Linked DNA regions of Caenorhabditis elegans. The protein of the gene in region 1 purifies or fractionates together with the protein of each later gene. This does not show direct contact. Each region holds a gene or a part of one and is shown on either strand. Other genes may lie near its edges. The genes, in order: T04H1.5, T22C1.8, xpo-1 and fbxa-143.

Evidence for each region.
Region 2: the proteins of T04H1.5 (region 1) and T22C1.8 fractionate together in Caenorhabditis elegans (co-fractionation; one large-scale study listed by BioGRID). This does not show direct contact.
Region 3: the proteins of T04H1.5 (region 1) and xpo-1 fractionate together in Caenorhabditis elegans (co-fractionation; one large-scale study listed by BioGRID). This does not show direct contact.
Region 4: the proteins of T04H1.5 (region 1) and fbxa-143 fractionate together in Caenorhabditis elegans (co-fractionation; one large-scale study listed by BioGRID). This does not show direct contact.

The regions. Positions count from the first base shown.
Region 1 is NC_003283.11:12,249,725-12,253,619, reverse strand, and holds T04H1.5 (G patch domain-containing protein 11), read right to left. Parts: upstream 2,280-3,895; 5' UTR 2,274-2,279; coding exon 2,099-2,273; intron 2,049-2,098; coding exon 1,493-2,048; intron 1,410-1,492; coding exon 1,271-1,409; 3' UTR 1,213-1,270; downstream 1-1,212. Other genes in the region: lrx-1 (LRP X(cross)-hybridizing), read right to left, coding at 1-71, 154-258, 756-842; rad-50 (Zinc-hook domain-containing protein), read right to left, coding at 2,561-2,725, 2,769-3,081, 3,137-3,679, 3,731-3,895.
Region 2 is NC_003279.8:7,955,188-7,960,504, forward strand, and holds T22C1.8 (Protein-tyrosine phosphatase), read right to left. Parts: upstream 3,244-5,317; 5' UTR 3,133-3,243; coding exon 2,994-3,132; intron 2,946-2,993; coding exon 2,791-2,945; intron 2,640-2,790; coding exon 2,459-2,639; intron 2,414-2,458; coding exon 2,026-2,413; intron 1,921-2,025; coding exon 1,721-1,920; intron 1,674-1,720; coding exon 1,564-1,673; intron 1,517-1,563; coding exon 947-1,516; intron 903-946; coding exon 870-902; 3' UTR 790-869; downstream 1-789. Other genes in the region: T22C1.9 (uncharacterized protein), read left to right, coding at 3,522-3,626, 3,671-3,758, 4,095-4,456, 4,687-4,719; T22C1.12 (C6 domain-containing protein), read right to left, coding at 5,218-5,317.
Region 3 is NC_003283.11:7,803,012-7,808,502, reverse strand, and holds the start of xpo-1 (Importin N-terminal domain-containing protein), read right to left. Parts: upstream 3,440-5,491; 5' UTR 3,212-3,439; intron 3,161-3,211; 5' UTR 3,142-3,160; coding exon 2,621-3,141; intron 2,570-2,620; coding exon 1,012-2,569; intron 966-1,011; coding exon 850-965; intron 800-849; coding exon 529-799; intron 381-528; coding exon 140-380; intron 137-139; exon of another isoform or gene 85-136; coding exon of another isoform or gene 1-84. Other genes in the region: ZK742.3 (NADH:flavin oxidoreductase/NADH oxidase N-terminal domain-containing protein), read left to right, coding at 1-84; uvs-1 (UV-stimulated scaffold protein A homolog), read left to right, coding at 4,818-4,880, 4,925-5,047, 5,096-5,194, 5,244-5,491.
Region 4 is NC_003283.11:16,125,029-16,129,824, forward strand, and holds fbxa-143 (F-box domain-containing protein), read right to left. Parts: upstream 2,474-4,796; 5' UTR 2,467-2,473; coding exon 2,270-2,466; intron 2,222-2,269; coding exon 2,141-2,221; intron 1,720-2,140; coding exon 1,089-1,719; intron 1,042-1,088; coding exon 835-1,041; 3' UTR 766-834; downstream 1-765. Other genes in the region: fbxa-142 (F-box domain-containing protein), read right to left, coding at 4,381-4,572, 4,757-4,796.

The DNA.
Region 1 (3,895 bases):
TTCACAACTTTAAATTGAGGTTCTTCAGTTTCATAAATGTCTACACTATCCACATCTGGTTCGACTACATCCTAAATATTGTTTCTTGATATTCTGGTAATGTAAACAAATATAGACCTATCCTCGGCCCTGGCCCAAGCCTTTATAACTTACAATATTTGGATATGGCTGCTGAACAGTATGAATGCTTGATTGAGGATTTGGAACGTAGCCTCCAGAACCAGACGAAGCACTAGGTTGTACATATGGATAAGGCTGCTGGAAAATATTTATACAATTCACTAAAGAAAAACGATTGTTTTGATTTTTTTCAAAATTAAGTTTTTAAATCGTCTGTGAATCCAATTGGAATCTTTATGTTGCCTAAAACCATAATGATTTTTTGTGCGATTTTTTGTCAAAATTAGGTCTCGATACGACAGAAATATTTTAAATACGGTGATTTTAAATAGTACTGTAGTGCGACTCATTTCACAATTTTTTCGATTTTACATAAATATTTTCCTTGTAGCTCATACCGATTTATATGTAAATACGAAACAAATAGTTAGAAATAAAGCATTAAAATCGGAACGAACGAGGAAAAATTGAAAAAAAAACTTGAACTTGAACTACAGTACTCCTTATAGGTGCAAATCCCTTGGCGAGCCCTTCATTTGAACAATATCTTGGTCGTGGTGAGACCCTAAGCATTAGAAACTTTGAGAAAGAGAAATAAGAACAAATGCTACAAATTTTTGAACAGTTCACTGTACCTGCTGAGTTGCTGTGCCATATAGATCCTGTGGAAGAACCGGTTGAACGGCTAGAAGAATGAAAAATATGGACGTTAACCATGCCATGATTTGCAAAATGATTGGCAATCAAATTTACCGGAACAGATCGAGAGAATGGATGAGCAGATGATAAAGATGGTGGAACTTGATGTTGCTGCCCACTGAAGACTGTAGCTGAAGAAGCACAAGTGTCGTGTGTGCACTGGACTTTCTTCTTTTTCAATTGTTTGTGTTCTTTTCTATCGCTAAAGAAGCTTTTCGCGCTGTTGGGGGCTACTGGTGGTGCGCGGCAACTGATCGCCACTTCAAGCTGACTGACTAGTGGTCACTTGTCACTTGATACGTTCCCACCTTGAGAAACAACACAGGAGCAGACAATAATGAAGCAAAAAAGCAAAAAAAAAAAGTGACACGATGTTAGGACACGAACTTGGTTATAAAAAAGGATTCATAGTATATACATCAAGAATTGAGATTTTATGAAAATAATTAATCTATTCATCTTCTCCATGATGTGCTCGACGAGTGCTCCCAGGACAATGTTCGATCATATCTTCTGGCGAGGAAAAGTTGGCTCCGCACCAAATACAATAGAAGTGACCATCTCGAAGATAATTGTTGATAGTGGAAAGTCTGAAATAAACGCATATTTAATACTATTGTCGGTTTGGATAAATAACGCTCATTGAAACCTTATCTACAAAACAAAAACTTACGCTTCTTCTAAAATTTCCGTTGACATTGTGAAATCATAATTCGGATCTTCTGGAGCTGCTAAACCATTTGAGTACTTATATTCTTCATCTTCTTTTTCAACTTTTTTATGGTAAGATGTAGTTTCCTCTTGAGCAACTTTATAACTTCTCCAAAACCACGAAACACTGGGAACTTTTTTTCCAATTCGATGATCCAACTCTTCGCACACCTTTCGACAAGATCTGATGTCTTTGACTAATTGCTTTGAGTTGGCATCAAGCTTCCGCCGTTTGGAATAGTCATCGATCAGCTCTTCATGCTTTGCCGCTTGTTCTTTCATTTTTTGCATTACAGCCTCAACTCGTTCATTGCGTTCTTGAACTGCTTCAACCTCGTGCCCAAGTCCCTTCCTATTAGCCTTGATATCGACACCAATTGGTTCCGTAATTCGAATTTCGTCTTCTCTTTGCTTTCCCAATGTCATACCAGGTTTGAATCCCATTTTTGCCATCAATGCAAATCCTTTCGATTCGTGGCTAATCGGTTTTGCGAGCGCCTCGTCGCGACGTTCTTTTTCTGAAATTTATTTGGTAAACTACAAAAATAATATACTACGATTTACAAACCTCGCTCAGCATGACTAGTTGGCCTTTTTGGTTTAAACGTGTCTCTGGACTCTTCAAATCTTGAATTTATTTGTAGTTCTCGCTTGTGAGCTCTAGATTTTGCAATTCCAACTGGTTGTTCACTAACTCCTTGGAGAATTTCAGCAGACATGTAGTCATCCTCATCGTCAGACATTCTGATCTTGAATCGAAATTTTTTATGAATAAGGTTAGCTTTTAACAAGAAGAAAGAAACAAAAGCGTAGCAAAAAACGCATTAGAATATTGAAACAGTTAGAAAATATTTTTCATTTCACATCGGCCGATGCATCGGGTTCATCTCGTAAAATATAAAACATGAGGTAACAACATTTGGAAACTCGGGAATGATCTGACAAAGCATAAAACATAATTAAAAGGTGAGCGAATCAATTTTGAGACCGTAAAATATTATTTGTACTATTGAGATTCTTCAATACCATTCTAGAACCGTCTCTTCGTATTAACTCTTTTCACTGTTCCATCTGGATAACGTTTCGAAAGGAAACTTATTCCGTGCTCGTCCTTCCCCAAACAATAAATATACTCTGGACGACAACTGATTGTGATCCTGTTGACGAGTCGCTCATCGTGAGTGATTACTACCATCTATAAGTTTGATTATTAGTTTTGATAGCTCATTATCCCATACCTGCATATCTCTTCCTCTCAACTTTCCATTTTCATCGAATCCGCGTCTTTCAGCAATTATATCTGCCAAAACGATAGCCATTCCTTCCACTTTGCTCTCATCCAAATTTGTTGTTGGTTCATCCAACGCAATCATCGAGCATGAACCACCGAATACTTCTGCGAGTGCAATGCGAATAAGCAACGAAGCAAGCATTTTTTGACCAGCACTGCAGCGTCCACGCATCTCAACTTCGGTGCCAGTTTCATGAACCATCATAACATTGTATTCGTATGCGACTTTCTTTGAAGAAGTCTCAGAAGTAGCATCTGATCTGGAAAAGAAACATTATACCGGTAAACAATTGTAGAATAGTAGTGAAAAAATACCTAATCCTGATTGTAGTAATATCCGTGGAATTATATACTTTTCTCCATAGATCATCAATGATTCCATTGACCCTGCCCATTTTTTCAGAATGAAATTGGATGAGTGAAGCATCAAGACAATTTCTATACTTCGTTAAATCAGAGATAGATTCTTTAGTAATTGCCAGTTCTATGATAGCATCACGATAATTCGATTCAGCATTCTGACACTCTTTCGTTGACAATTTTGCTTCCGCAATTTTTTTTTGCTTCTCGTACTCTTGCATCTGAGTGTATATTTTCACTTCTTCGTTTCCAATCAAGCGAAGTTCATTTTGAAGTTTGTTATAAGCTTGTTTTTGTTCAGTTATGCGATCTTCATTTATTTGTCCATCGAATGTGGCCAATGTTCTTTTCAACTCTTTTATCTTATTTTCGATAATCATTCGAGTAAGTTGATCTTTTAGAATTGACTCGCGTTGATGTGAACTATCGAACGAACGGAGATCTTCTTCGAAACGTTTTTGGCGTTGCTGATTTTCTTCTAAGCTGGCATTCAGAGTTCTGAAAATATATTTTGATACAAAATACTATAGTAGTTTAAAAATTACTAACGCAATATTATTTTCCTTATCCATGAGTTGTCTTTCGCACAGACCGCCTTCCTGGACTTTTTTAAACAGCGATTTCCGATGGAAAATTTTTTGATCCAACTCCTTTTTCATCATCTGCACTTCCATTTCAGCTTTTTTCTTCTCTTCTTCTTTACTGGAAACATTT
Region 2 (5,317 bases), on another chromosome or scaffold:
TGCACCAAAAATAAGAAAGAGAGAAAGAGAGATGATGATGGACATCATATGTGGAGAACAGGAAGAGATTGAAATACTTGAAGAACTACGAAAACAAAGAAAAAGTCTATTGAAATGCAAAACAGGGATTTTTTCTTCAGATCTATTTATTGTTTCCCGATATCTAAAATTGAACACCGTAGGGCATGTGATTTTTCCAGATTCGCCGATCCTTCGAGCATGACGACCCTCAGACAAAGCTAAGCGACGATCTCATTTAAAAAAATATACGTTTTTTCCAATTTTCTGATAATTTTAAAATTCACAGTTTGTTTTCAGGCTTTTTTCAAATTTTTCTAAAAAGGGCAGTCTTTCTTTTTTTTTTCTTTTTGTTGGATGCACAGAGCCCTCCAAAACCTCAGGTTTTGCGGTTTCTTGAAGCAAATCATGTTGATAACTGTATCCCTGTACTGTGATTACTGAAGAAAAAAAAACAAATATAATAATATATCATGGAGTTGGTTATTTGAAAAGTTAAAATAAAGTATTGAACTTTTACAAATGTCTGACTGAAAATAGTTTGAAAGTATTTAGAAGAATGAAGCTGAAGGTGTTCTAGACCGCTCTCCGACAATCGTATCGTTGTTCAAAGAAGATCAGCGATTTTCGATCGAAGAGGAGAATAAGACTGAAGGTGACGGAGCTAACTACGAGAATGAGGTGAATATGTGCTGTTCCACTCGGACAAAGGTTACCGGATGTCTAATTTTTTGGTCGCAAAGATGAATCAAATGTGAAAACTCAAAAAATACAAGTAACCATTCATTCAAGGAAAAAAATTTTGGGAACTCGATAGTAGATCACAAGAGCGGGCTGGTAATGGCAGAACATTACAGGAAGTATTGACTACGGTTGGCAGATTGCTGAAAATAAATTAGTTACGACTACAAACATTCGAACTTTATACCTTTTTCACCAGCTTGAAATTGCCTTCCTTGGAGTTCTTCTTCTCGTGTCCCTTTGTTTCCTTGCTCTCTTTCGTATCGCAACTGTCCTTGTTACCATCTTTACTGTTCTTTCTCACAACGGGAATCGACAGAAGTGGTTCATTTGGAAGAGAGATCATGCTGATATTGTCATTCTGGGCAGCAGTTTCCTCTTTGATCTCAACTTTTTGCGTCGCCTGAGTTTTTTGGTCTTCCATATCAGGTCCATCTTCCGAAGAAGATCTTGTTTCGAGTGGAAGTGGATGATCTTTGCATTCTTTTGGATGTTCAGTCTTCGGAGATTTGTGCTCTTTGCATTCTTTGTCCTTTTTGATAGGTTTCAGAATCTTTTCGCAAATCTTTTCCATGCATTCTTGTGCTTTTTCTGCTGGAGAATGATGTGGAGTAGCTTCTTTTGGAACAACTGGAACAGGCTTGGCATCAGCTGGAATGATGTTGAGTGCTGGTGTGGATGGTGTTGTTGGTACGTGATCCACTTTTCCACGTGTCTGGATGAACTGCTGGATGTTCCAAGTGAGAAGCTCAACTCTCTGAAATATAATACATAAACCTTGCTTTCCACTGAAGTCACACTCACATCATCTAAATCCGAGTCATCCCAGTAGCCATTATCCTTTCCGTAGTTGATCAGAATCTGCACAAGTGCCATGTATTGAATGTCAACTTGAATACTTCCGGCTCGGCTGTCTTAAAAAACGTGATTAATAAAAATCATCATTTCAATATTAACTTACTTCTCAAGGCTCTACAAGTTCCCAGCAAATCCAGTTCTTTCCCATCCGTCAGTATTTGAAGACATGCTTCAATCGCAACAAAAGTGCCTGTTCGGCCAATTCCGGCGGAGCAGTGAACAGTGACTGGGCCGGAAGCTGTGCGCACAATGTAGAGCATTCGGAGCAAAGCCATCGTAGAGTTAGGGACACAACGGTCAGGCCTGAAAGTAATTCTATTATTATAAAGATTTTCAGTTTGAGTTTTCTGATTTTGGTTTTTCAATGACACTAAACCGAATGTTGTTCTGTAAAGATCAGTGGCTTACCATGACTTTGTATGCAAATGCTTCAAAATATGTTCCTTCCCATTGTCCACATTTCTAACTGATAATGTTCTTTTGATGATATTCGCATCCTTATCATCCTCCAATGAACACAGAATGGTCCATGCTCCGAAAGTCATTGCTTCTCCAGCTTTTTCCGGATAGTATTGGGCACATTTAGCCTTTCCGTCTTCCATCACCTCACATAGCATCACAATGTAGGCAGTCTTCGTGTGAACAACCATTCTCCAGAAATCAATGACAGTTGCTGCAGTGGCGCCTTGTGTCAAAATGAACGGAGCGTTCAAACCATTTACATAGTTTGCATGGATATAATCTCCATCACCACCATCACTGAGAATCACGCGTGTTATGTCATTGCAAACAACATCTGAAATATTAATTTTAATTCGATTCAAGTTCCTATATTTCATACCTTTATAGCGATTCTTTGTTGGGTTCGCGTCAAAGATTTTCCGTTCCATTGGCTGACCAGGATATGGTTTCACTTTTGTCATGAATTCGACTGAGTACTCTGGAGGATTCTTCTTGACAGCATCACTTGCAAACTTGAAGAAAACCTTCTTCTGTACATCCGACAGTGGATCGCCTTTTAACTGAAAATCATAAATTCGGATTGAGAAGTGCTTTCTCTTTTTATTGTACTTTCCACCCGGACGAGGTCTCTCAGTCTACCTGCACCCTTCCCGATGTATACGGGAATGTATAATAATATAATTAACGTCCAAAAAGTCCAAAAGTATTTACCGGGATTATGGCATGCGTTTTTTCGTTATTGAAGTGGATCTTCTTGTCAGGATTCCAGACCGGATGAGAACATGCTCGTTTCCGTTCGGTTCCTCTTTTTGGTTTTCTCCTTTTCTGGGTGCTTCCAACCTCTTCCTTTTTCTCATTGTGAAGAACTGAAAGAATTCAGATTTTTCTAAATAATACTGTATGATTAAACTCACGAAATCCCAATCTTTTCAGTACTCCTCCTTTCTTTTTATCCTTTTCATCAACTTTTTCGTCAGATGGCTTTTTCGCAAGGCGTCGAGATGCCTGTTGATCATCCTGCGAATTTCCACGTGTTCCCTTTCTTCGTTGCATTTTATTTCAGTTCACTGATCCGTTGATTGATGGATTACACTATCTCGGAACGATTCGTTTTTTTCGAGAAGCGTCGGTTTTATTTTGATTTCTTCGTTCGAAGCTGACGAAGACAAATGTAGAAATAATTCAACTTTCGACTAATCTCTGATATTGACAACTTTCAAATAAGGAGGGGGGGGGGGACGTGGAAGTTCAAATTAAAAAAATATATACATATATGTTGTTGTAATTGTATTTTACGTTTTTACGAAAATAACATTTTCTAAATTTCACATTTCTGAAATGCGTGAACTTTTATTTCTGCCAACGAACTTAAACAATCTTATTTACAAATCTACTACGACTTCGAACAATCAAATTTATTCCTGACTTTTCAAAAGTGAGAGATGGTAAAACCGGCAAATACTTCGTCTTCACTTATCACTAAAAGAGTTTTGACTCTCGGTAATAATGTCACAATTGATATATACGATCATCATTATTATCCAATGGTAAGTTCATTTTTAAAAACTTCTAATCTTTTGAAATTTTTCAGTGGTTTTGGATTGTAATTTCTGTTGGATTTGTCTTCTGTACTCTGAGCTGTGCTGTTTGGTTTATGTGTGCTATGTGGAGATTGAAAAGTAATATTAGAATATTCTAATATTCTGTGGAACTTTTCCTGTCAGGCTTTTGCTCAGATAAGATTTTCTTTGCTCTCAGAATCCTAGCTCTGGTTTAGGTGGTGCTTTGATATTTTTTGCAAAAGATCTCTAATGGGGTTATTTAAGTAATGTAGCAAAATGTATTTAAATACATTTGTGACCTCACAAATGTATTTAAATACACGTTTTTATATACTTGAATACAGTTGTGACGTAATTTTTCTACACTTTTTAATTTTCCGACACTACTTGAATAACCCCATAAGAAACAATCAAAATGTGTATGTTGGAATTTTAGAACTGGATGTTTTTCAGAGGGTAAAGAATGTAACCATCCATCGTTTGAAGCGCGTACCGTTGTGACAAAAGATGGAGAAGAGAAACCGGATCCCAAAATGGCTCAAAAATCAGAAAAGACTTGTAAAAAATTAGGTGCATTGGGTGAAGCTGAATCGTTGGCCAAGAGCTTCAAAAGTATCAGATCGAAAAAGTCGATGAAGTCTACAAAATCCAAGAAATCTGAAAAAGATGTAGGACATGATGATCATAAGAAGGAAGATGTTCATGGTGATCAAAAGGATGATAATAAAGATCGAAACGATGGAGGACGAGATTCTCATGTTGTTCAGATGGAACATAATTCTGAAGAGGAACACGAGCCGAGTGGATTTAAAAAGGTTTTTTTTAATCGTTGAATTTTGAAGGTACCTCAGATAAATCAAACCACGCAGGCAACGCGTCTAGACCACGCAGAAGCTGGCAGTCTTGAGCGTGGTTGTAGGCGTTGCCTGCGTGGTTTGGAGCGGCACCTGAGCCGCTTATCGTAGAAAAAGCTTTGATGAGCACAAAGAAAATAAGAAAATATTGCTGCCAACAATTGGAAACTTTTAATGAAATATTTTTACAGCTGGGCAAGTCTTTCTTCAACTTCAAAAAGTAGCAAACTCTCTTCACCTTCACCAAAGAATAGCAAATGTTGAATGCTCCAAACTTGTAGACTTATAGAACTGTAGAGCATCTTTATTTATGAATGAAACTGTTCACAAATGCCATTCTACTTATTTTAAACACCTTCTGAGCCAATTACCAGGAAAATTTCAAATTTTAAACTGCAATTTATATCCTCAACTTACTACTTTTTTTCTTGATTTTCACACGATATTTGAATTTTTCAATAAAATCATACAGCCGATTAAATAAATGAATGCCGTGAGTTCTTCCTGTTCAAAATAACAATCGAAATATGAATCTAAAATTCTGAAAAATCGTACTGCATTCAGTTTAATTTTCCATTATCAGATGATGAAACATATTTATTTCGAACAAAATTATTCATAGCCAACGATAAACTTTAGGAATCCGAAGTTAGTCTTCAAGATATCCCAGATCACATTGAAGAAATGGCTAAACTCTTCCCAAATTCCAGAGAAAACCTTGTTCACAAGCATCGGACGATAGGCACATAACTAATCTCGGAATTTTCGTCTGATAGCCAAACTCCTGTCATTTGGTTACATCGGATACTGTACTTATCAGAC
Region 3 (5,491 bases), 4.4 Mb from region 1:
TACAAAACAGAGCTGGAACCAATTGGAGGATACGATCGATTTGCTGGAGTAATTAAATACGTTCCATTGAACAAATCTACCTAATAATTTAGTAAACTATTTTTTGTCAATTTTAATAAATAAATGCTTTCGAACTAACCAATTTCCGCAACATTGCGCATTGTGTGTTGGAATGCCCAAACGACGGCGTCGATGACTGTTCCAAGATCCTCTGGAGGCATTTCCATGAAAACCGGGAAGCACTCTTGAACCAAAGAAAGCACCAGCTCGAAGAAGTTGGTTCGATGCTCGGGGAACGCTTCCATATCCTTGTTGATCATGTCAATGCTGCATTGGAAAACCGCACTGAGGATGCTCGGCACTTGTGGACAGAGGAGAGACTGAAAAATAATTTGATAAAGTTATAATTTTTGAGAAATTTTCGAAATTTAAAAGTTAAGAGTTGAGACGAATTTGAAAATTTTTCTTCAAGCCCTAAATTATTTTTATTTTATTTTAATTTTTTCAAAATTTCAAAAGATAACTGACTCCAAGTTGTGTGACCAGAATGCTGAGCAAAGACAACACTTTCGGCTCTCTCGCCTGTGGCACATTCTTCTGGTAATCGAAGAGAACCGCATCGAACAATGGTGGAACTATACTGTCCAGAATGAGCTTGGCATCTCCGTTCTTTGAAATGAATGTCGATAGAAGGATGAGAATCTCTCGCTTCACAGCTCGCATCGTCTTTACCAATGGATTCTTCAAAGCCTCTTCGCCGGCGGTTGTCACTGCTCGGGACACCTTCTCGGATAGAATTCTAAAAAAATTAGGTTTACTAACAGAACTTCTTTTTTTTTTAATTCTCACTTGTAGAGGGATAGAAGATCACTGTAGATATTTCCGAGTTGGGTTACAAACGAAGATCCAATGGATTTGCAGGCGGCCACATTTGTTTTTAGTATATTCAGGACAGATTTGACCATCTGAAATTTGAATAAATATAAAAGCCAACCCCTTAAAATAAATTACCTCCGGCTCTTCGAGCACACTGTCGTTAGTGGATGCTGCTGCAATGATGTCGTTCCATGTGCGATTTGGGATATCCATAAGCTTCATGATCAGGTCTTCTTGCAGATTTCCATCTATCTGCGCAGAAATGATGTGTCCAACAGCCTCGTAGAATACGTGAACTTGTGCATGAGAAAGATCGCAGATGATTCCAGTCAAATTTTCGAGCATCTCTTCGACGAAAGGCTTATTCTCAGCTGGTTGGACGATGACGAAATGCCTCTTACATTTTATGGAAATCTTGATGAATGTATCACAAGCCATGTCCTGTACACCTTCATGAGTCTCGTGCATGAACTCGAAAAGCTTATTGATAACCGTCTTCAGGAACTTCCAGTGAGCTCGAAGGAATCTCGGGTACTGTCCGACAACATACATGATGTTTGACGCAATCACTGCCTTATTGTCCTTTCCACGTTTCTGTTCACAGAGCCCGAGTAAATCACGAATAACAAGAACAAGGAATCGCTTTTCGTCTTCTTCAACCATCGTTCCAGAAATCGAACCAACAGCCCAGCACAAACGATTCAAATTCTTCCACGAAAACTCTCCTCCGTTCACTTGTGATGCCAACTTTTCAGTCATCTTCACTTCAGTGTCCTTGTTGTCAAGATGAGTCAAATAGACAAGCGTTTCACGCATGTTACGGTACAAAGCAATCGAATCAGTATCTTTGACCATTTCACGAACAACTTCTCCTTGATCATTTTCCACAATCAACACCTCTTCTGGCTTTGCCATTCGAGAAATCATTGTTGAACGAAGTTGCGAGAGGTATTCACGGTAGAGTTGACGACGTGGATGCTCACGAACCTGACTCATCATTCCGTAAAGAGTACTTGGCTGAATGAATGGACATATACGGTAGAGCTCAGCAGTCAACCAGCACCAACAATCGAGGCAAACTTTGAAAACCTCCATTTCTTCGATCAAAGTGATTTTCAAAAGAAGTTGAATAGCATAGTCGTGAGATTCTCGCATTAAAATTTTAGCCTCAGTTAATGGCTCATCAGTTACTTCAATCAGATGAACGTGCTCTTTGATGAACGCGACAAGAAATTGAGCCAGACTACTGATGAGTTTCTGATCCTGATCGGAAGCATCTTTGTAGACAGCAGCCAGGTCGAGGTCCAAAGATAGAACTTGGCTAATGTGGCGCATTGTAGAGCAGAACATTTTGACAAGCTTTTCGTCGTAGCTGGGATCGTTGGTTTCAACTTGAATTTGTGAAATTTCCGTGAGACATTGAAGAGCGATGACACGATACACTTCAAGCGAAAGGAAGTTTTCAGACAGCAATTCCGTGATGTTTGTCTCGAAAACGTAGCCAACTGGAATCCAGGTGAGGAATCGTTGAAGAGTCTTCAAGGTAGCTTGAACCATAGAGTTGGATGGACATTTCTCGAGAATGCTGACACACAGTGTGAATACTTCTTGGAACTGTCCACAGAATTGTTGTTTCAGATGTTGTTCCTTGGCTTGGGTGAGGTTTTGGGATCCGAAATCAAATACTTCTTCGCTGAAAAATATAATAAATGTAGCAAAACATTTTAAAACTAATTCAAAATACCTCAACAAGCTCAGAATATTCATATTGTTGATGCAAACGGTCTCGTTGTTCTTCGATGAATCAACAATATCGGTGATGAATGTTGGCCATGCCTTTGGCCAATCTTGTTTGACAATTTGAACCAAAACGAGGTTCAACTTGTGAAGAAGCAGTTGACTTTGTTCCATGACACTCTGATCAGAAGACAATTCGAACATTTTGGTGATGATGTACGACTTGATTCCTTCACGTTGGACTTGTGGCAACGACTTCCATTTGTGTTGGATGACAGTCTCAAGGATTTGAAGTGCAAAATACTTGGACTCATTTAGCTGCGAATATTGAAGAATCGCATCGACTTTGGTCCACGAATCGCGTTCTTCCTTGAGCGACATGAGGATTTGGTTAGCCTCGGCCTGTTCTTTTCCGCTCATTCGATTCATAATCTCGACGACTTGATCCAAAAGAGTCACATCGATACGGTCACCTTGGGCGAATTGACGCTTCGCTTCAGAGAGCACTTCCATTGCTGAGACAGCCATGTTTTTTTATTGTCGGTTTCTGAAATTGATAGCATTTATTGACCAACACTATAAATATAAAATAACTTACCAGCGATCAAATTTCGCAAAAATCGGCAGTAGTTTCCAGTTCAGTCTCACACACTCACGCACACACAAAACTGGCGGGGTTCAGGCTCTCGCTTTTCGGGCAGAAATCCTGTGTTTCTCACAGTGAAGCTGGAAAATTAGGCCAAAATATCGTTTCACTCGCACACACACTCTCACGCTCTCTCACACAACCGACTGTTGACGATGGGACGATCGATCTAGCCCAGTTCTGAAAATAAGAAAATTATTTTTAAATTTGCAAACCAAAAGGTGTAGAAAATATATGTCAAGAGAGGGAAAAAATATTGACCTAAAGTTTGACAGAAATAAATTCAGAAACGGAAATTGGAGATGGGAGAAGACGAGAGATATTTCTTTCATCATCGTCACTTTTGACAGTCAAATGTTTCGAAATTACTGGATTGATAAGGATCTATTCAAGACTAGGAAGTGAGAAATGCTGAATGCAAAAGTTCGGCCAAACAAATCTCACTGCGAAAAATATTGTGTGCGACCTTGCTGAATTGGGACAGAGCGCGCGATGTTATTGTAAGCAACGGTAAAAAATCGATTGAGGACACCTCGATGAGTGCACCCGTCCCGCTTTGTCTTGTCACGTGATGTGCATGACTTGCGCCCTCTCTTTACGTTCGGAAAACATTGAAAACAAAGCGTAGGAGCTATTGAGGAGGGGTCATGTGATTTTTTTTCGCATGTTTACTTGTTTGCAGATACATGAAGACAGGAGAAGAAATTGAGAAACGGAAGGACCATTCTGAATATTTTTGGCCGAGACGCGCGTCGAAAATGTCGAAATGAGAAAGATTGAATGAAAATAGAAGCAACAAAATCGCCGCACGTGACACACTACACACCTATTATTTGCTATGAGAACGGAAAAAAAACAGCGGTGAAGCAGATTTTACGTGTGAGAGACAAAAAACGGAAGAAGTGGGAGAAATCGTCGGATTCATGCTCAGCGGCCATCCCAGTTTTTATCACAAGACACGCGCCGGCGCGCGCGGGGAAAGTCTCCTCGCGGCCTTTCCTGTTCGAATTCATCGCAGACGCAAAAGAGTACGATGGAGCGCATTTGACAAAAACTTTCGCGGCTGTTGGGTACTCGCGGACCTGATATTTCTGTGTTTGGTGAGAACGGAAACAACGAGTAAAATGTATTTTACTTACTTTTCGAAAGTAGATATTCACAAAAATAAAATGTGCTGTTAAATTTTTAAGTACATCTTAACGAATTATTTCGAAAATAATTTGATTGCGAAATTAAATTCATGTTTATACGCTGTTGTTTTCATCGTTCTTGTGATTTTCAGAAGAAAAATGAAGCCAAACTTGAGAACAAAGCAAGAAAAAATGTTGATAATTTTCGCTAAATAAAATTATTTCCCTTGAAATAAAAATTGGCGTCTAAACTTATCGGGAAACAAATAAAATGTTGAAAAGAAGGCAACCAAAAGTGAGGAATATTTGAAAAAAACAACCGTATCACCTATTTCGCTTCGAGACCTGTGAACGGTTTTCTTTGCATGCGCCTTTAAGATTATGATAGAAAACATTATTTTTGTTTTTGTTTTCAGTACTGCAGTTTTATGGATTCAATTGACAACTCCACAACAATAATAAGGAAGAATTTGAACCGATTCATACGAGAAGTGAGTTTTGGAACTAAAAAACAAAATTATGCGAAAGTTTTCAGCTGACAGATGATGGAAAGTTGGACTTTGAATCAATACCATATCAAAATTTGCAAAAAGAAGTGGCAAATCAGGACGAAGAAGGCTGCGAGAATGTGATAGAAGTATTGCTGGATACTACAAGCGTAAGATTCAAGATTAACATTAGAATTAATTAATTAAAACATTTTAAGAGATCAGGATGTCCCGATAGGAAACTAATTCTGCAACTGTTCAATAGCTTCTTCTTACAATTTCCAATATTTCGGGAAAATCTACTCAATGATCCATCAGTGAGTTTTGTGAAAGCTTAAATTAAACTAAAAAATTAAATTTCTCTAGGAATTTCTCGAATTAATGTTCGAAACAAACCCAATTCGTAACCCACTCCCTGGTTCGAAAAAACATGGAAATGAGCTGAAAGTCGAAGCGATAACAGTGATTAAAAGCTGGGAAAAGGAGAAGTGTGTGAAGAACGATGCAAGAATGAAATGTTTGGTGGTGACGTTGAAGAAGACAAAATTTGTAGACTATGAAAATGGAGCTAAGAAAATTGAAGCGGAAAGAAAACGAAAAAAGATTTTGGAAGA
Region 4 (4,796 bases), 3.9 Mb from region 1:
CTTGTGTATTTAAAGTTGAAATCAATCAGAAGCAAACATTCACTAGGGAATGATCGAATTGAAATAAAATTTGGACTATAAATTGTTGAGTCATAGAAATGCGGAAATTGTCCGCTGGAAATATATGATATCACATTTTCTGAAAGCGGAAATTTTCGTAATATATGTCATTTTTCATTTAAATACTTTTTCATTTTAAACGAAAAATGTCTTTAAGCTAACCTAGCGCAAAAGATGGTGGAAAAAAAACTGAGATCTTCATTGAAAATTTCAGAATATTCAGATTTCGATTCAGTTGTATATTTAATTAAATTCTGAAATTTGACATACATTTTCCAATTACGTACTTTTCAGATTTTGGTCATTTTCAGTTAAATGCAATAAAGATATAAAACTGTAAAACCTATGTATAGCATCTAGTATACTCGGAAACAAGTATTTTCTCACATTCAGTTTCTAGTCAAAAATATCAAAACGCTCTCAATGTGAAGCACAAAAGCCCAGCAAAAAATTGACTGAACCGCACCAAACACATCTAAAAAATGCCTACTGCTTCCTAGCCTACACATGTGCTCACCATTTCCCGCAGCTATTCCTTTTTATCGAATCGTACGTCGTTATCCGTCACTGTGTTTACACAAGTCTAATTTTTCAGAAGAGCATATTAATCATCATTCCATTTTTTATGGCTCCCTACTGAATGGGGTGATCAAAAACTGAAATTATGCAAACTGCAAAATTCTACTTTTGACCTGAAATTCGAGCCGTCGGTCTGTCTCAAATTTATTCAATACAAAAACTTTTAAAAAAAATCATATTTTTTAAAATTTAATTTCAGTCACTGTCCACAATCTTCTTTTTTGTCAATCGAAAGTGTTCTGTGCTAAAGTCCAAGATAAAATCTGTGCCATTCTCGTTATAATCAATTTTGGCCCGTTCTTCTCCTTCGTAGTCCAGAATGAAAACTCTCACTATTTCGATAATGTTGGTTTCGGGGAACTTGAAGCACCCGTTCTCGAAGTCCACTGATTTTGTGAGCAACTGAAAATAATACTTGGATTTTTTTTCGATTTTTTATTTAAACTTACATCTCTCAGTTTTACTGCATCCTCTTTTGAAAAGCAAGGTACAATTACATAGAACTCTCTGAAATGGAGCATATCCTCGACAGAAACCTTATAACTCTTCCAGAACGAATCAAAAACTTGTGCTCTTTTCCATTGCTCAAGTTTAGCGATTTTCTCGAGATCTGTGGGCTCATTGGAAAGCAGCTCAATTTTTTCAAGATATCCAGCTTTTAGGAAAGGGATCACTAATAGAAGCTGCTCCTCGGAGAAATCTGTCCCATGAAACTTTTTAACGTGTAGGCAAGACATGGAGGATTTCAAAACATCAAGAAGAGTTGAAAAATAAGTCCCAGTTTGCTCAACATCAACAGAAAGCTGAATCGGAAATTTTTCCAAGCGAAGTGCCGGATTCTTCATGATAATTCCAAAGTCATTGAAAGCCACATCAACAGATTTTGCACCAATAATTGTTTTTGTCTTCTGTCCATACTTCAGGACACAATCACGTCCCACGCTGCTATATTTGATTTCCATGTTATCCACGAGCAATGATGTGTAATTCTTTTTCACAAAAAATCCTAGAGTTTTGAAGCCAGGGTTGTGAGTGTCAATAACTTCTCTCATTTTTCGAGACACTTTTCGCACAATTAATCTGAAAATAGAAGATTTTGAAATGATTTTCAAGAAAGCTGTAAGTTTAGGGTGCGCGGCAATTGCATAGTCCTGGTTATTGACAAAGTTACAGAAAACTAAAATTTATGAAAACCATACATATATATTTCATCGCAAAATGCTCATTTTTATTAGCTCAAAATACCAAAACCCCAAAGTGATAAACATTTTTCTCGTTTGCAAAGTTTAAATAATTTTCAGAATGTTTAGTACATTTTGTACATTCTGAAACAAAATCGGAAGGTCATATTTTTTGAAAATAATGAAATAAAATATCTGACAACTTTTGACCAAACCTGACGCTTAAATTAGTGTGGTAACCTATTTAAAATAGGAGATTTCAAATATTAGATGATAATACAAAAATACAATGGCAAACAAAACCCTAAACTAAAACTAACCGATTTTTATTCTTCAATTTGTCCACAATTTTATGTAGCAACTTTTCCGGCAGATCCAAAATTGATAGAGCCACATGCAGGCTAAAAGTTTTTTAGTCTTAAGTTCTATTTCACAAAATTTCGACCTACCTTCTTTCCGAATCTAACTCATGATTCCCTTGGTAAAACCGATAGAACCAAAATTCGAACTCCCTATAACCAATGACGTCATCTCCAATTCTATTGCAAAAATTTGTGTAGCAATTGTAAATTGGCTGCCTGCTGAGGACTTCGTACAAAATACATGCTCGCAGGGCTACTTTATTGTTTTGTAGAGTTTCAGCCATTCTGAAATTCTTATATTTTTGAAAAGCAGGAAAAACTAGAAGACATTGGGCAAAGAATTGGCAAACTGGAATCGATAGAGTAAGATTTTCTGTGCACGTTAGTCCGAAAGAGAGAAAGAAGATGACGCAGACGCCAAATACGTATTTTGTACCCAGCTGTGTTTTGTGTGTCATGGGAAGGGCGATTTGTTTGCAGAAAACACAGTTTGGCACCAAAGAAACAAGGTATTTTATGCTTGAAAATTATTTGTTCTATTTTTTATTTTTTCTAGTTTCGAATTTTCCCCAAAATTTAGCAATATTCCATAAATAAAGCTTAAAAACGATACAAAAATAAATGCTAATAATTTCTCGGACTGACAACTCCAAAAAATAAAAATTGTAGAAATTCCATGGCACCATGAGAATGTATCAATAGATCGCGTTTCCATTTTTCACCTCCAAATAAATGTGTAATCAATTAACTGACAAATTCATTAAATTTTATATTATTCAAATAAAACATCTTTTTTACAATAAAAACAAGAATTTGACAAAGACATTCACATAATTATTTAATTGGAAAAATACAAAAAAAAACGTTCATATCAATCATTAGAAACTCGTTTAATTTTGAGATATTTTGAGCCATGAAGAATTTAAAAATTTCCAGATGTTACCACAACATTTATAGAAAATTGATCTCCTCCGGCAAAGTTCGGATTGAAGATTTTGGCTGTTTCTAAAAATTCACACGGTGGGAATTCCAAATGTACAGATTTTAAGGCGATAGACTGTTCCAGAAGCTGAAAAATACTGCTATTTTATATCTAGTCTCTAAACTCACATTTTTGACTGTGATAGCATCTTCTATCGAAAACGAGACCAGTTTTATTTTGAACCTTTTAAAATTGAATAGATTTTTCAAAGGCAACACATAATTTCCAACATTGGCGACCAAAGTTTTTGCCTTTTTCCATTGATCCAAATCAGTTAACTGCTCCAAATTGCATGTCGTATTTCGGTTGAATAATCGTATTTCTCTAAGTGTTCATGCCGCCAAGTATGGCAAAAGCTTACCAATTTCAGATGAGCTCAAATTTTCAAACACCGACTGTTTAACTCTCAAAACTTTTGCAGAACTGAAAATTTGCATTAAAGACTTCAAGCATTTGTCACGTAATTCCGGCTCGAATTTCGTGAAAAGGTACACGCGAAATCGATTCAATTTCAGCTTGGGATTTTTCATCAATTGAGAAAAATCGTTCAAAGCCATTTCCATATAGTTTCCTTCTTTGACTTCAATCTTCCGGTATCGGAAAGTAGTGATACAACTATCCTTTTCATTTTTATATTCGATTTGGTTTTGGTCTAGGCGTAAGCAGGCCCAGTATGTTAAAATTGTGATTTGAATCTCTTTTATGCCGAAATTTCTGTTTTCCAGGAATCTTCGCAGGTTTTTTGAAACTTTTCGAAAAATAAGACTGCAAAATGTTTAGTCAGCAAAAAGAATAATCTGAAAAAATCCTTACAGGTCAATGGGCTCCAGCTTATCTAAAATTTTCTCAAAAACTTCAATCGGTATTGTGAAAAGTCTTGGTGCGCTAGTAGTGGTTCTGAAACAATTAACTATAACTTAAGTAAAAATTTATTAACTTGCGGCGTTTCGATCATTTATAGTTGTTCAAAATTTCAAAATGAAGCAAAAAAAAAAAATCAAAAACTCACTTCACTGTTTGCTTTTCTGCGTTTCTTCTTATCAGTTAGTAGGGGTTGCAAAAAGCTAAAACTCTCATTTTTATTCATTGATTAAAAATGTAAAAATACGGAAAAATTAAAACAAAAATCAAATTCCGTTTTGAAAATTGCACTGCATCATTCTCTGCGTATCGTTTTTTGTTGTGAAAGATTGAATGTTTGTTGAAAATAAAACATTTATTTCCTCGTGATTTTGAAGCATTTTGTACAAATATTGATAACGAACTTGATGTTATTATAAGTTTTATAAATCAAATTAGCATATTCACCACCGACGTGACCAGGATGAAATACGGTCGCAAGGTCTGTAATTCCAGATCGGGAAAAATGAAAGCAACAGCTTTGCAGGTTGGGAGAGTTGGAGAGCATCTGAAAATATTTTTTTATGGTAAAAAATTGCTCAACTTCGAGAGGCCACTTTTTTTCAAATTACAACACATTTTTTTAATTTACAGTCATAACGTAGAAATGACTATTTTAAACCAATTTTCAAAAAGATCATATAAAATTTTTCACTAGATATTGTATAGGCCGCAGGTCGCGAGCTACTCACTTTCTTGATATTTACGGCATCTTGTTTTGAAAAAACCGCT